Linked DNA regions of Struthio camelus. Each later gene encodes a partner of the first gene's protein in a complex. Links are inferred from orthologs where the notes say so. Each region holds a gene or a part of one and is shown on either strand. Other genes may lie near its edges.

Region 1 (7,594 bases):
CTGTCGGCTGTCATGTTCTGGAGACACAAGGCAAGCAGTGGTGGCATCGCCCAGGAGGGCAGGGGAAGTGGCACTGAGCCTGACCCCGCCAGCCCTAGCCTGGGGTGCCTCGGCCCTGTGGGACTGCTTGGTGTTGTGGGCTGCACAGGGCTGAGCTGCTGTCCCTGCTCACGCCGAGCGGGGGGCCAGATCTAGGTTCCCCCTCACCTTCTGTGGGGCTTCCTAGGAGCCAGGGCTGTGACCATCGGGGAGGGTCAGGCTCAGACCCATAGCCTGTCTGCACCCCGAACCGGCCTCACCCCAGCCTGGGTGGAGAGGTGGCTCAGGCACTCCCTGATCGACTCATGGCAAGGGCAGAGTCCCAGCCCTCCCCAGCGCCCAGGCCTGGCACGGAGGCACCCACCCAGGAACAGCCCTGGCACGTGCTGCTCCAAGATCCAGCCTTCCCCGGTGCGCAGTCACCCCCTCCCAGGTTCGCAGTCACCCTGCTTCCGGCACACCCATGCCACCGGTGCCAGCCCCGCACGCCTGCCCTCCTCCCTGTGGGAAGCTACCTCCGCAACGGTGGTTTCATACGGCAGGTTCTGGAAGATGGGGGCATTGTCGTTACGGTCCTCCACGATGACCGTCAGTTTTTTGGAGACCTACCGGGAGCAGCGGGCATCAGTGACGGTGCAGAGCAGGGGCAGGGAGATGGGGTGCCCAGGAGAGCTGGGTGCTGCTCCGGCGCCCCACGTCCCCACGGCTCTGCACCCGTCCGGCGGCGCAGCGTTGCCCCGGCACCCTTCACCACTGGTCCTTGTCCACGCTGAGACCCTGCTTGGCCCCAGCTGCTGCCACAGCCACCCCCTGCCACACCGCGACCCCGGCACTCACCGCGTCGTTCTGCCCGTCGGACACTGTGATGGTGAGCGTGAGCCTGGCCAGGGACTGTGGGGACACACATGGAGACACACATGGAGACACACACTCAGTCAGAGCCAGGCAGGGCTCAGTCCTCCCAGCCACCACCCCTGGGTGCGCTGCTCCCCCTGGCCGGCTCTCCCTCCCCGAGCTGGGGTTGGGGGCCAGGGAGCTGGTGGCAAACGTCCCTCGCTCCCTGCCCCAGCCCTGGGCTCCCTGACGTGCACCTCTGCCTGCAGCCTCCAGCCCGTGGCGGTTCCCCCGGCACAGCCCGGAGCTGCCCATGGCCTTGCCCCACGGCAGGGACCCACGGTGCTGCACGAGCAGCTCTCCCAGAGGACTCCTCGCTCTGCTGTCTGTCCCCCCAGAGCCCGCCAGTGCCCGAGATGCCAGCTCACAGCTCGGGGCCGGGGCCTCTGCCCTCACCTCACGGTCCAGGAGGTTCTTGAGCAGCACTTTGCCCGTGTGGGCCTCGACAGAGAAGTAGAAGGCCTCTGACCCACTGATGCTGTAGGTGAGTGGGTCCCCGTCCGCATCAATTGCCTGCAACTGGAAGGCCTCCTCGCCTGGGCACAAGGGCAGCGTCAGCACCCGCCCAGGGCTGCCGGGTGTGGGGGGACGGCTGGGTGCTCCCCCGGCACCCCAGGGCCTCTCCTCATCCGGGCAGCTCTGAAGCTGCCCCACTCACCAATCTTCAGGTCCTCTGGCACGTACACGAGGGTCATGTTGAAGTAGGGGGCTGTGTTCCCTGAAACTGCAGCGAGGACGTGTGCTGAGCACAGCCCTGAGCTGGCCTCTGCCCGGGCCCTGCACCGCAGAGCCAGCAGAGCCTGCCCAGCCCCAGCGCTCAGCTCCTGGAGGTGCTTTGAGTCCCGGGGGGCCAGGGAACCCCCCAGCCTGCTGTTTCTCACCCTCCCTCCTTGTGTCGTCCCCCACCTCCCAGGTCCAGGCCACCCCTGCTCCCTGGGGTAGGAGGATAGCCGCTGGGTCCTCAACACTGGTGCCAAGGGGGTGGGCACCTGTTTTGGGGGTCCCGGCTGCCCTCAAGGAAACAAGGACGAGAGCCGGGGGCCTCAGGCACCTCCAGCGCTTCCCACCCACCCTGGCAAGCCACCAAGCAAAGTCCTCACCTGCCGCCAGGAAGAAGGGGAACAGCACCAGCACGCGCCCTGCCATCCTGCTGGCAAGCCTGCGGGCACACATGGGAGACCCAGCACCTCCGGGTCAGCAGCCGGCCTCTCCCGCCGGCCGCCCCGGCCCCTTCCTGGGGGGCAGCGCCCCAGGCAGGGGGACCCAGCTCGGGTGAGCTGAGCGGGACTGAGTGTACCGGGGAGCAAGACGCCAGGCTCCATGCTGTCCCCAAATCTGTATGGGGCAAGCTGCGCCTGTTCACAGCCCACCACGGGCTCTGGGGCCACGGGCAGCCCCCAGGCACGGGGACAGCCCATCCCGTAAGCCCCGGAGGGCTCGGTTGGCCGGGGGTTCGGCTGTCCCGCCGGGAAGCTGCTGGGGAGAGCCCACGCAGGCGTCCCCCAGGCCCTCCCAGCCCCATGGCGCTGGGATGCTGGAGCCACCCGTGTCCCCAGGCTGCAGCAGCCATTTGGGAGAGCCTGGGATGGGACTGCTGCTCTCCTGGGGTGCCAGGTCCCACCCATAGGAGCCTGGACACGGGGCGCTCGGAGTCCAGGCACAAGCTGTAACACCGCCGCGGCTGCCCCCCTCCTCGGGCCACGGCCCGCAGCTCTTCTCTGCCGCCGGACACCCACCGCCTCCCGTCACCGCTGGACCGCGGGGGCTGGGGCCGGCATCCCTTACCTGCGGCCGGGTCCGCGGGGATGCTGCTGGGCAGCTGCCTGCACCCACACCCTGGCACCGCGGGGGACCTTTGCCTCCTGCTGTAAACAGGTTCATCAATCATTAACTGGAATTAGGGAGTGAGAAATCCATTTTCACCTTCCTCCTTCCTCGAGCTCATCCCCCACCTCCCGGGTCCGGCCTGGCCCCGTGCTCGCTCCTCAGCCGCAGCCCCCCAGCCCCCCGCGCTGGCTGCTGTCCCCGCGGCTCCCGCGGGTGCCAGGAGCGCGGCAGGGCCCACGGCGGGGCGGAGGGACTCCAAGCAGGCCAGGATGGAGGGGACCGCCCTCTGAAATGGGTTGAGGGCACTGGGGATGGACCCTGTCCCCTGGGTCGGGGACAGCTGGCTCCCGCTGGGGCAGGGGGTGAGCGGAGTGGCTGCCGGGGCGGGAGCCCGGGGCCCTGCAGCCCGTGCCTGCTAGCTCCTCTCTCCTTCCTGGGGAGCTCGGGGGGCTCAGCCCGGCCTCCCTGACCTACTTGGGGCCGGCCGGGGACAAGGGCGGATTGTGCGTCTCTGCTCAGGCAGAAGGGGGCCGGGAGGCGGGGGCGCGGGCCTGCCAGCCCCAGCCCCGAGGGCCTGCAGCACCCGGCCGGGGGGGTCCCAGCACCTTCACCCCCTTTTCACCGGGGACCCCAGGGGGCAAGGGGCTGGGCAGCCCTGCAGGGTGCAGCCAGGGGGACTCAAGGGTGCCCCCAGGACATCCAGCCCCACCAGGTACTTTCCCCACATGCTGGGGTGAGGGGAAGCAGGCTGGCCTGGGGCACCCCAGCAGAAACACCCGGGCCGGACCAGGACACCCCAGCACAGCCCCCCGGGCCAGACTGGGACACCCCAACAGAGACCCCAGGCTGGACCAGGACACTCCAGCAGAGACCCCAGGCCGGACCAGGACACCCCAGCAGAGACCCCCGGGCTGGCCTGGGACACCCCAGCAGAAACACCCGGGCCGGACCAGGACACCCCAGCACAGCCCCCCGGGCTGGCCTGGGACACCCCAGCAGAGACCCCCGGGCCAGACTGGGACACCCCAACAGAGACCCCAGGCTGGACCAGGACACTCCAGCAGAGACCCCAGGCCGGACCAGGACACCCCAGCAGAGACCCCCGGGCCAGACTGGGACACCCCAGCAGAAACATCCGGGCCGGACCGGGACACCCCAGCACAGCCCCCCGGGCTGGCCTGGGACACCCCAGCAGAGCCTCCCGGGCTAGATCCGGACACTCCCCAGCGCTGCCCTCCGAGCCGGGCGCGTGCGCTGCCGCTCGAAGCATTACGGCGCAGAGCGCCCCGCGGCCCGGCACGGCGCCTCGCGGTTTCGTCGGCGCCGCTCTTGGGCGTAGTAGGGTTGGGGGGGACGGGCGCGCCCATTCGCGTGGCGGGGGGGGGCTGGCGGCGCGGCGCGGCCGGTTCCATCGGGGCGGCGGGCGCAGGGGTACCATGAGGCGGGGCTGAGGCCGGGCCGAGGCCGGAGCGGGAGCGGCACCGGGAGGGACACCGGCACCGGGAGGGACACCGAGCCCGGCGGCCGCGCCATGCGAGCGGGCTGAGCCGCGGGCGGGCACCGAGCGGCCTTCGTGCGCCGGGCAGAGCGGGCGAGCGGCGGGGGCGGCGCCTCCGGTAGGTGCGGGAGCGGCGGCGCCGGGGCCGGAGCCCGGGTAGGGGGGTGGTAGCATGGGGCGGGCAGCGCCGGTGCACCGGGAAGGGGGCGGGCAGGGCTCGGTGCACCGGGAAGGGTGCAGGCAGGCTGGGTGCACGGGGAAGGGGGCAGGGCCGGTGCACCGGGAAGTGGGCAGGCAGGCTGGGTGCACCGGGAAGGGGGCAGGGCCCGGTGCACCGGGAAGTGGGCAGGCGGGCCCGGTGCACCGGGAAGGCGGCAGGGCCCGGTGCACCGGGAAGGCGGCAGGGCCTGGTGCACTGGGAAATGGGCAGGCAGGCCCGGTGCACCGGGAAGGGGCAGGCAGGCCCGGTGCACCGGGAAGGGGGCAGGGCGCGGTGCACCGGGGAAGTGGCCAGGCCAGCCCGGTGCACCGGGGAAGTGGGCAGGGCCCGGTGCACCGGGAAGAGGCAGGCAGGCTGGATGCACCGGGAAGGGGGCAGGCCCGGTGCACCAGGAAGGGGACAGGACCTGGTGCAGCGGTGCCAGGGGGTGGGGCAGGCCGGCCCGGTGCACCGGGAAGAGGCAGGCCAGGCCCGGTGCAGCGGTGCACGGTGGCAGATGCACGGGCAGGGCCTGATGCCAGGCGAAAGGCAGTGAGCAGGGCTGTGGGGCCGGCGCACGGCGGGCGGGTGGCTGCGTGGGGCGGCAGGACCCGCTGCTCCGGGGCTGGACGCGTGGGGCAGGCGCAAGGCGGTGGGTGTGCTGGGGTGGCTGCCGCCGGGGACGGGCGGAAAAAGCCCCCAGCTCTCTGGGAGCCCCCCAGGGAGAGCAGGGCCGCGCCGGGCGCCTCGGGTCTGCTCGGGGCATCGGGGAGGGCAGCAGAGCTGGGGCGGGCTGCGCCGGGCGCCCGCCTCCTTTTGGAGCCCAGCGGCGCTCTCGTCCCTTCTGCGGGGGCTGCCGGGCCGCCCTGTTTCTGCCCCGCCGTGTCTCCGGCTGCGCAGGAGTTGTTGGCTTGCGTCGAGGCTGGGTTTTGTGTCGCTGACTCGAAGGGCACTTTTTATAGGACGAGATAAAAGTGCTCCGTCTGCCGCTCCCGTTCCCAGCGCGGCGCTGCTTGACCTGAAATCGGTCATCTCCAGCCCCGCGCGGGGTGAGCGCCGTGTTGCGTGAGGAGGGACGGAAGGGGAAGTGGCGAAACTCTTGAGAAAGTCGTAAATGGAGAAGCTGCTTGGAAATAAATAAACCCTTAGACGGTGTTGCGTATACCACGATCGCAGGCGGTGTGCGTGTGCCAGGCTGGGCTCACGAGCAGCCTCGTCCCACAGAGGTTGTGTGGGAATGGGGGTATCCGTAGCTTGGGATGTGCGAAACCTACAGCCTGAGCTCTGCAGGCCTGCAGGATCTCTGGGTTTGGTGCTGCGCGCCAGGGTTTGCTTCCTCAGGCAGAAGTTCAGCGGCTGAACTCTGCTGGCAGCCTGCGCCATGGTGGATGCTGTCTCTCCGCTGTCGGGCCAGCACGTCTTCCTACAAGTGCGTCTTGGTTTTGTTGCGGCATCTCGGATGCAGACTGCGCCCCGGGAGCCCTGCACCAGCCCCTTGCCTCTCGGACAGCCGGCTGAGCGGGTCTCGCCCGCGCGTCTGCAGCTCCGGAGCTTCGTCCTGTGCCTTCCTCCTCGCCACCGTCCTGCGTCGCTGCCCCGTTCGGCCTCTCCTCCCACCTCCCCTGTGCCACCTGCACCTGTTTTGGCTCCTTCACTGGCTCCCGAGGACCCGAGTCCCCTGGGAGGCGCAGCTCCCGCGTGCAGCGGTGACGCCGTGCCCTGGGGAGATGCGCAGGTCAGAGGCTGCGGAGGCCGAATCCGTCCCTGTGGCAGGAGCGCTGTGCGCGGCCGGGGCGATGGGTGGAGGAGCAGGCGCGAGCCTGGCCTTGCCGGCTGTCGGATGGGAGCAGGCTGCCGTCTGATGTCACTGCAGTGCATGGTGGGTAATTATGCACGTTGCAATGAAAATAATAAGGCCGGCTCCATAGCGGCGTCTAAAAATACTGCTAATGCGGAGCGCCTGCTGGGTGCCTTTGTTTGTCACCTTTGGGTGTTTGCTTTGAAGCTGGCCAGGCTGCAGGAGCTGTGCTCTGCGTCTGCAAGTCCCTCGGGCTGTGGGATTTGGTTTGGCAGGTGCCCTGCAGCCCGTCTCGATCCCTCTGCTCGGGTGGCAGTGCCAGCAGGGCCGGGGCAGGTGTTGGCATGGGAGGCGGGAGCCGCCTGGGCTCAGGTGTGACTCCCCTCTGCACAGAGCCCTGCTGCACAAGGAGTCGCAGCCAGGGTGCGGGGCTTTGTCCCCCCCAAACCTTGCTTGGAACTGGGGCGCTCTGACTGGTGGCTGTTCCTGTGTCCCAGGGACCTACCCTGAGGCCGCCTTGCAGAGATGTGACCACGACCATGCTAGCCTGCCCTCGGGCAGACTGGCAGAGGTCAGGGTTAGGGCCCATGCAGCATGGTCTGTCCATCACCGGCTTTGCTCAGCCAGGTCAGAGCACCTTGTGGCTGGCGCTGCTGGGCTGTCCCTTTGGAGCTATACCTGCGGTCTGTCCTGGCACTAGCAGGACAGGAACCACCTCCTAGTCTCTCACTGCTTTCTGGATGAATGAAGGTCTAAGGGAGGGATGTGTGTTCGGAGTGAAGTGGTGTGATGGCGGGCACCTGGGCACTGGCCCTGGGCTGGAGCAGCCTGGGGTGACACAGGCGTGGTTTGCTTGAAGCCACCTCTGGTACGTGCCATGCCAGTCCTGTGGCCTGGGCACGCTGCGGGGATGAAGAAGGGACCGTGCCCTCCACCAGGGGCAGGCTGGCTGCTGCCGCCAATGCCAGCGTGGGGGCAGAGCGGGAGCCGGGTGGTGATCTCCACTCCGTGGGCAGGCAGGCGCCCTGCCGTCTGGTATCTGTACAGCTCTTGCTGCTGCTGTGGTCCCTCCATCTGCTGCCAGGAGCCGGTAGCTCCCCGCTGCAATGAAGGGAGAGGTTTGCAGGGGTGGTGAGAGCCATCTGGAGCCCCGGCTGCTCCAGCGACCGGCCTGGCATGCTCGCACGGGGAAGGCGGTGTGCGGCGGGGCAGAAGCGGAGGGCTGGGAAGGGCAGGAAATGGTGAGCCTGTGTGCTCAGGTCTCGAAGCTGAGCCTCTTCCGCTTTGCGTGCAGGGAGGTCACAGCAGCAGCTGGCTCTGGCTGGGGCTCCCCTCCTGC
Region 2 (6,843 bases), on another chromosome or scaffold:
ACAGTAGACTGCTAGACACTAATGTAACAGGTCTTAACACATATCCTGGTAGTTATAACTGCAGCATCTGTCAAAATCAGTACTTGATTACACTGGACATCACCACATTTGTATTGTAAGGGGCAGCTCCTCTACTATGAAGGTTGTAGTGCATATCACATGGGAGGTAAAGAATGCAAAAATCTGAGTATTATTATCATTTTACAAAGCAAGAACTAAGGAATAAAGAAATTAAATAAGTTGCTCAAAGTCACACAGAAAATCTCTGACAGGTTTCCAAAATCTCCAGCTTTCTTCTTGGTCTACTTTATCACATCAAAATCAAGTAAACATTGACTTGGACTGGAGGACAATCCAAATCATGTCACTGTCTACTAGTTAGACAGATAACATATCACAGCTGCATGTAATAGGAGCATGTACGCTCTAGCACTAAGCGGTAACATGGACTGGAAATCTAGCTAACTGTCAATCACCACTGGAAACGATCACTCTAGGAGAGAGTAAGTGGGGTCATGCCCTATGCATATTTCAGTGATTTCAGAGACTACTATCAGCTCTCTTCTTTGCAGTCAAAGTGTTAGGATGAACGAGGACAAAAACTATGTTGAGCCTCCTAAGCATCCTCAATCAGTAAAGGAAGCAGATGTAACCATGTATGAAAAGAGGCTTGTAAGCTGCTGATCAGGACACCCGTCTGGATGTGAAGTAGAGGTCATTCCTGGCAGTACTGTGCCCTGTGACCTCGGCACTCACATAGATTTTGTGCTCCTGGTGGCGGATGAGGAGGTTATGCACCATGCCTGCTTCATGGAGATCCCCAAGGCGGATCATGTCTTCCACCCCTTGGACAGAGGAGGGGTGCATTGGGCGCACCATGTGCATGTTCTTTGCCGTGATCCAGTGCTCCTGAAAAAGGTAAGGCAGCAGTTTTGATGAGGTATAGTGTGTCTCAGAAGCAAACAAAGCAGAGAGGCATGTTAGACTGGAACGAGCTTGACTGCAATCCACACTGAAAACAGCGTGCTCTAAGTCACAGCTGACTCAACTAGAGGAATTAATAGATGTGCTGCTCCCCAGGACAGGATGATTGACAGGCCCTGGATGAAGCCACTCAGGTGAGTTCTGGACATCATCAAGTTTAGCAGTGTTTGGAGTACAGTTCTGTGTCAGTTCATCACAGCTACAGCATGCAAGAGCTAGGGGTGAAACCCCAGACAAACTGACTTTAGTGGGATCACGATTTCACCCAGAGTTCCACCAAACTTAGGGGCTGGAGCCTGTCCATTTCCTGCTTTTAGCTATGTGGATCCAACCTCTCGCTCACGATGACCTAAATCTGCGCACTGTTGGGACCTGGGAAGATATACTAGGGAAGTATCACCGCATGCTTGCCTTATTTTTATATTCTTTCTTTAAAACCATCGTCAAAGTCAGATAATTTGGCTAGATGGAGCTAGCGTCTGACGCAATATGGCCATTCTTTTGTTACCATACTTTTAAGTACGTTCTTCCTTTACAGAAGGTTATAGCATAGCCCACCTTGCCTTCATCATCCTCCAGCAAGATCCGTCCTGAGTCCGAGTCCTTCACAACTGCCCCAATAGGGACGTTAAATTCACTATTTGAATGAGTTTCCAGCCACACGTGATCACCCTGGAGAGAAGAAAAACTGTCAAGTACAGTGACATACTTGATGTCATGTAGCTCACAGGTATGCATCTCTTAGTTTTAGTTTTTTATTGCTTTGATTTCTTCTGCAAGTGTTTTTAACTGGACAAATTCTTACTGCTTACAAGCAGTACAATCTAATGGTTACAGTATCAGGACCTCTGGGTTTTATTTCCAGCTCCACAACTGTCCTGGTACGTGACTTTGGACATGTCATCAAGCCCAGCTGTTTTACAAGAGGAAATGACACAACACTTAAAAAAGGACTGTGGTTATGCAGCTCCACTACCTCCCAGAGATTGCAGGGGGCATAGTGAATGCTTATAAAGTGCTTTGACAAACTCACATAAGCTACAGTATTCGTACAGAAAAGATACTTGAAAACAAAGACATAATCAGGGAAAAATAAAAAGATGGATAGACAAGATCCCTGGAAACGTAGATGGCTCTGCTGCAGTAGTTTTAGGTATATATTCTCTCTGCTATCACTCAAATCACTTGGAAACATGACTGCATCCATGATCTCTCTTAGGAAACAAAACCTGTATTCCTTATTTAGCCCAGCACCTCTCTTGACAGAGAGGTAAATGCTCAGGTAATATCCTGCCTACAGAGTAAACAGGCAGAACTGCTCTGCCGTCACCAGAGGGAAGGTGTGAGCTACGGCTGCTCTTTACTAGGAACGAGCACTATTTTCATGCAATCTTGGTATGGCCTCTGCTACTGTCCTGGTAATACTCCTCGAGTCCAAGCCCCTCAGAATGCCTTCTCTTGCCCCTGGCACTAATTCAAGTTCAAACAAAAAGTTTGATTTTAATGGCTAGAATGAAAATTCAATAAAGCTATAGGTCAGATCTTCGATGGGTGTAAACTGGCTCAGTTCCACTGCTCCAATGGAACTGCACCTGCTGAGGAGCCAGCTTTCTAGTGGGGTGTCTTGTCATAATATATGCTTTGTCCCACATTATAGCATTTACTGATAAAGTTTCATTTTTTTTCCTGAAAAATTCTTTCTTTTTTCTCTTAAAATACTTTATGGGCTTACATTTTAGAACCAAATCAACTGTAATGTAAAGCATCTGTAAGCATTGCCCAAGGTTATGAAGAATGTCACACGCTGAGAGAGTCCTGCTTTACACTGAATGAGACTCCACTGGCAATCTGTGTAGTTTCAGTGCCATCCCTTGTGGCCCAGGTCACCAGCTGAACATGAGCATGACATCTCTGCAATTACATGGATGTTATTTGGTACCCTGTTGCTAGTGGGTTACTGCTGCTTTTGTTTTTGAGCTGAACCATGTTATGGTCCTTTTCTCCTCTTTGGGCCTCAGGCTAATCATTAAATCACAACAAAGAACATGACTTACCTTTCTGAAAACCGTCATTACGTTTCAGAGCACTGTTGGCAACCTGCAATCCCAAAAAGAAGAATATGACATTATGCCAGAAAAGGTCTTGGGCTTTTTGTTCAGAACAGACAGTGGCATGGAGATGTTTACGTGTAAGAATAACAGCAAAATACCTTAATAATTCTGTTTACTGATAAAATGAAAGCAAAAGAAATTGTAAGAAAGTACACCCAATGTGGAAACAATGAAACCATCTATATGAGGCAAATCATCTGCCACACAGGTGTGGTGGTCTACTGTGAGGTCCACCACATAACCCTGGAGATGCTCTCCATCCCAAAGAAGTCACTGCACATTTTCACACCAAATAGTTCCCTCAATCAAACGCTAGGCATGTTTATCGGCTGAACTTCAAATTTAAGTTTCGCTTACAAATAACAAGACCCCATGCAATGCAGTGTAATTCATTACACAGAAGAGTTCTGGTGAGTGCCTAGCCCAGTGACACAGATTTAAGTCTTACTCTCTTAAGGTGCCCGGTGCACTCAGACCCTCACAGCTTGAACCTACTACCCTTTAGAAAGTGAGCTCTGGCGTGGGAGTGGTTGCAGTAAAGGCATGAACAGTAAAATAAGAAAAGTTTTAGGCTTCAAGCTCAAAAATGGCAACGTCTCCAAGGAACCACGATAGAATTAGGAGCTCAGTGTCAAGAACATAGTGAAAAGACGTGGCCAGAAACCTACACCAGTGCTCTGAATAAGTGATGATACTGTTTAGGCTGTGAGCCTGGGAACAACCAAAGAACCAAAGTCTTTAGAAGCCACGTACTGTCTTATATGCCCCAGCAGCTGGACTTCGGGAGCGATGCCAGGGATAGGTGTGGTTTGCTGGCTCCCACCCTGCTAGCGTGAGGGCTGCTACATGCCTTTGGCTGCGTGTAGGAAATCGCAGGCAGACTCTTTGCAAAGTTCACTGTAAATGTTTCCAGAGCATGAAAGGCTTCAGCTGAGTGCAAGCCCTAAGCAGCAGGTCACATTTTAAAAAGACTGAGAGATCTCTCCTCACTCGTGTGCCAACTTGCACAGTTCAAATAAAGACACTGAGGAAGGAATTAAAAATACATTTTCATTATATTAATTTAGTGGCTGATGATGGTGAATTGGTTTTCAACCTTCCATTATGCAAATAGTACTGAATAAAACCCTGATAACTTCTGAAAACTCTGCAATAATATGAGGAAGGCATATTCTCTTATCCTCCGGTGTATCACACAGGAGGAAGCTCTCCTCTGTGCTGGTGCACACAAAGAAGGGATTGCCATATGGCTCTGTTTACCCTGGGTGACTGTGTGTGCTGATCCTGGGCAAAACAATGAATTGAAGAGCAGAGTCCCTCCCACTGGCAACCTGTGCATCTGAGGAAACGAAGGCACAGCCTCAGGAGAGGAGCGTGAAGCATCTTGGGTATACATCTAATAGTCATTTGCTTTCCACTTGCTCATCCTCTCCCTGCTGCTGTTGGGTCCAGCTCACCGTAATGTGAGTTAAGTGCATCTCTCTTCCCATCAAAAGAGGCAGGGTTTTTCCTCTGCTTTCTCTTCCTACCAGCAGGAATTGTCACTGCACCTAAAGCTGTTGAGCAATCTATGACTCAATAGCTGCTGTGTGCAGTAGACATCATTTATTACCCCAAGCCTACAAAACTTCATATTCACAAGCTTCTCAGAGTGGTGTGACCAGCTCTCCTCCCTCCATTTCTCTAAAGTATCTCTCCCGCCACCCCATTTTTGCACATCCAGAAAAAAGGCTCAGCTCAGAGTTCATAATAAGAATGAAATAGTTGCAATAAGCAAAATGCTCCGTAAATAAAATGCTAACATTGCACCGAAAATAAATTCTAATTCTACCCTTTTATCATGTATTATTAATGAAGATTTTTTACTATTTTATCTCAAGCAGATTTTACAACTTCCTGCTTGGCTGAAGCTCAATGAGGATATATTGAGTCATTTGCATCCCTCTTTACACTACTGTTTGACGGCACACCTCTTGTAAATCATTTGACAAGAGGACGAGTGGACAACTCAGGACAAGAAATTGATCTTTGGCACTAATTCTAGACAGGTCCAGGATCTCTTGGAACACCCACCCATGAAGAAAAGAGAAGCTGGTTCTAGTTTTATCTTGACGCTTGAATTCAAATTTCTTATTTTCTCATAGCCTTTTGAGAAGTTATCTGGTTTTGGTCCCAAATTATGCATGTGTGCTTTTTTTGGCCAGGTTTTCTGGAAAGTTTGAGCAAAAAAAGAAGCCCCCAAATTAACCAAGTTGAAAGTTGCATGTTCTGCCAGTACTGTGCAGATGATCATGGAATCCCAGTTTGCAGTAGTACCATTAACTTTAGTGATTGATGGGATATTTCATAAATAATTTCACTGAAATCCTTGAGATTTCTTCTCTTTATCATGTGTAAAGGCTTTAATATCGTAAAGTAAAATTTATCATACTATTTACAATTCTGTGTAAGAGGGATGTATTTTTTTTCTGAGAGGTACCCAGATATCATTAATCTTCTGACTGAATCATTTCAATCATTTCATGATTTTGAATCTGATTCATTTTATGGTGGAGTTATACAAGTTTCTGAGGTATAGACTTTGCGGCTGAATTTTTAGAAAGCAGTCTTTCAAATCACTACTTTACTTTTTGGAATTCACGCTCTTGAAAAATGAGTATCACCATTTCAAAAAACTCAAGATGATGTTTGGGGATAATACTTATTTCTTCCTCTTGTTTTAATAAATGTCGATATTCAGTGGTGGAAGAAAACTTTGCAGTGAGAGAATTAGGCCTCATTTTATCATTTGCTTACCTATAGCCTGCAACTGGTTTTTTACCCATGTGATGTGGGAAAGTATACATAACTTCCATAAATTGAGGACTTTTAGATAAAACTGATGAGTGCATAAGCAACCTTTTCTTCTGAATAAATGGAGGTAACAATTATACTCCTTTATGTGAGATACTGCCACTGTCTGGATAACACCACAGTTCTAAACATAAGGAAGGCTTTACGGTAGCAAATAAGGAAACTAGGAAGTGCATGTCTGGATTCAGAGGGAAAAATCAGCCACATGATCTTGGAGCCCTCCCTTATGTGGCCATAAAGGGCTATACAGTAGCACAGATTAAACACGTTTTTTAAACAAGCCCAGAATGATTAACCACTTTTAAATAGTCATAAAACATGCTAAATATAACCAGTTTTCAAAATTACAAGATGTCTTGTGATTCCAAGGGAAAAAATGCATAGAAACTTGAAGAGATGCCAGACTGCTGCTGTAGAAGTCCAATGCTAACACACATTTAAAAGCCAGAATTTTACATGTAATTTTAATGTAACTGACCCAATAAGTGGAGGAAAAGTGGAATATAGACCTTAATAACAAAACGTGATACATGGAGAAACTGCATGTGCTGTGTCCCCAGCACAACACCTGCTGACTATATTAGACTACGGCAGCCTCCAGAGCTCATGCATAACTAAGGCAATTCTAGATTTTGCAGCACAACATCTAGGAAAATCTAGCAACACAACATGAACGTATGTTTTCTGGCTGCCTGCCTTTTTCTTTTCTTTTTTACAGTATCTCAGGAAGGACCTTCCATCTCTCATAATCAGCTATTCTTATGGCCATGTCCTCACGTCCTTTTTCAGGACTCAGGAGCTCTACCTGCACATTAACTTCAAGGATGTGATGACCTGTAACTACAAGCGATGCAAAGTGGTACAGGAGCATGGTACTTAGCAAACATAGGCCCAA

The links. The genes of interacting proteins can lie anywhere in the genome.
Region 2: CDHR2 (region 1) and MYO7B share a complex: the UniProt entries of both Homo sapiens proteins name them as parts of the IMAC/intermicrovillar adhesion complex. The link is inferred for Struthio camelus from reciprocal best matches to the Homo sapiens genes CDHR2 and MYO7B.

The regions. Positions count from the first base shown.
Region 1 is NC_090954.1:10,026,925-10,034,518, forward strand, and holds the start of CDHR2 (cadherin-related family member 2), read right to left. Parts: upstream 3,002-7,594; 5' UTR 2,886-3,001; intron 2,799-2,885; 5' UTR 2,719-2,798; intron 2,093-2,718; 5' UTR 2,080-2,092; coding exon 2,034-2,079; intron 1,658-2,033; coding exon 1,592-1,657; intron 1,470-1,591; coding exon 1,330-1,469; intron 931-1,329; coding exon 877-930; intron 645-876; coding exon 555-644; intron 18-554; coding exon 1-17. UniProt on the Homo sapiens protein: Intermicrovillar adhesion molecule that forms, via its extracellular domain, calcium-dependent heterophilic complexes with CDHR5 on adjacent microvilli. Thereby, controls the packing of microvilli at the apical membrane of epithelial cells.
Region 2 is NC_090950.1:6,319,476-6,326,318, reverse strand, and holds the start of MYO7B (unconventional myosin-VIIb), read right to left. Parts: upstream 3,005-6,843; 5' UTR 1,723-3,004; coding exon 1,543-1,722; exon of another isoform or gene 1,081-1,542; intron 919-1,080; exon of another isoform or gene 910-918; coding exon 757-909; intron 1-756. UniProt on the Homo sapiens protein: Myosins are actin-based motor molecules with ATPase activity. Their highly divergent tails are presumed to bind to membranous compartments, which would be moved relative to actin filaments.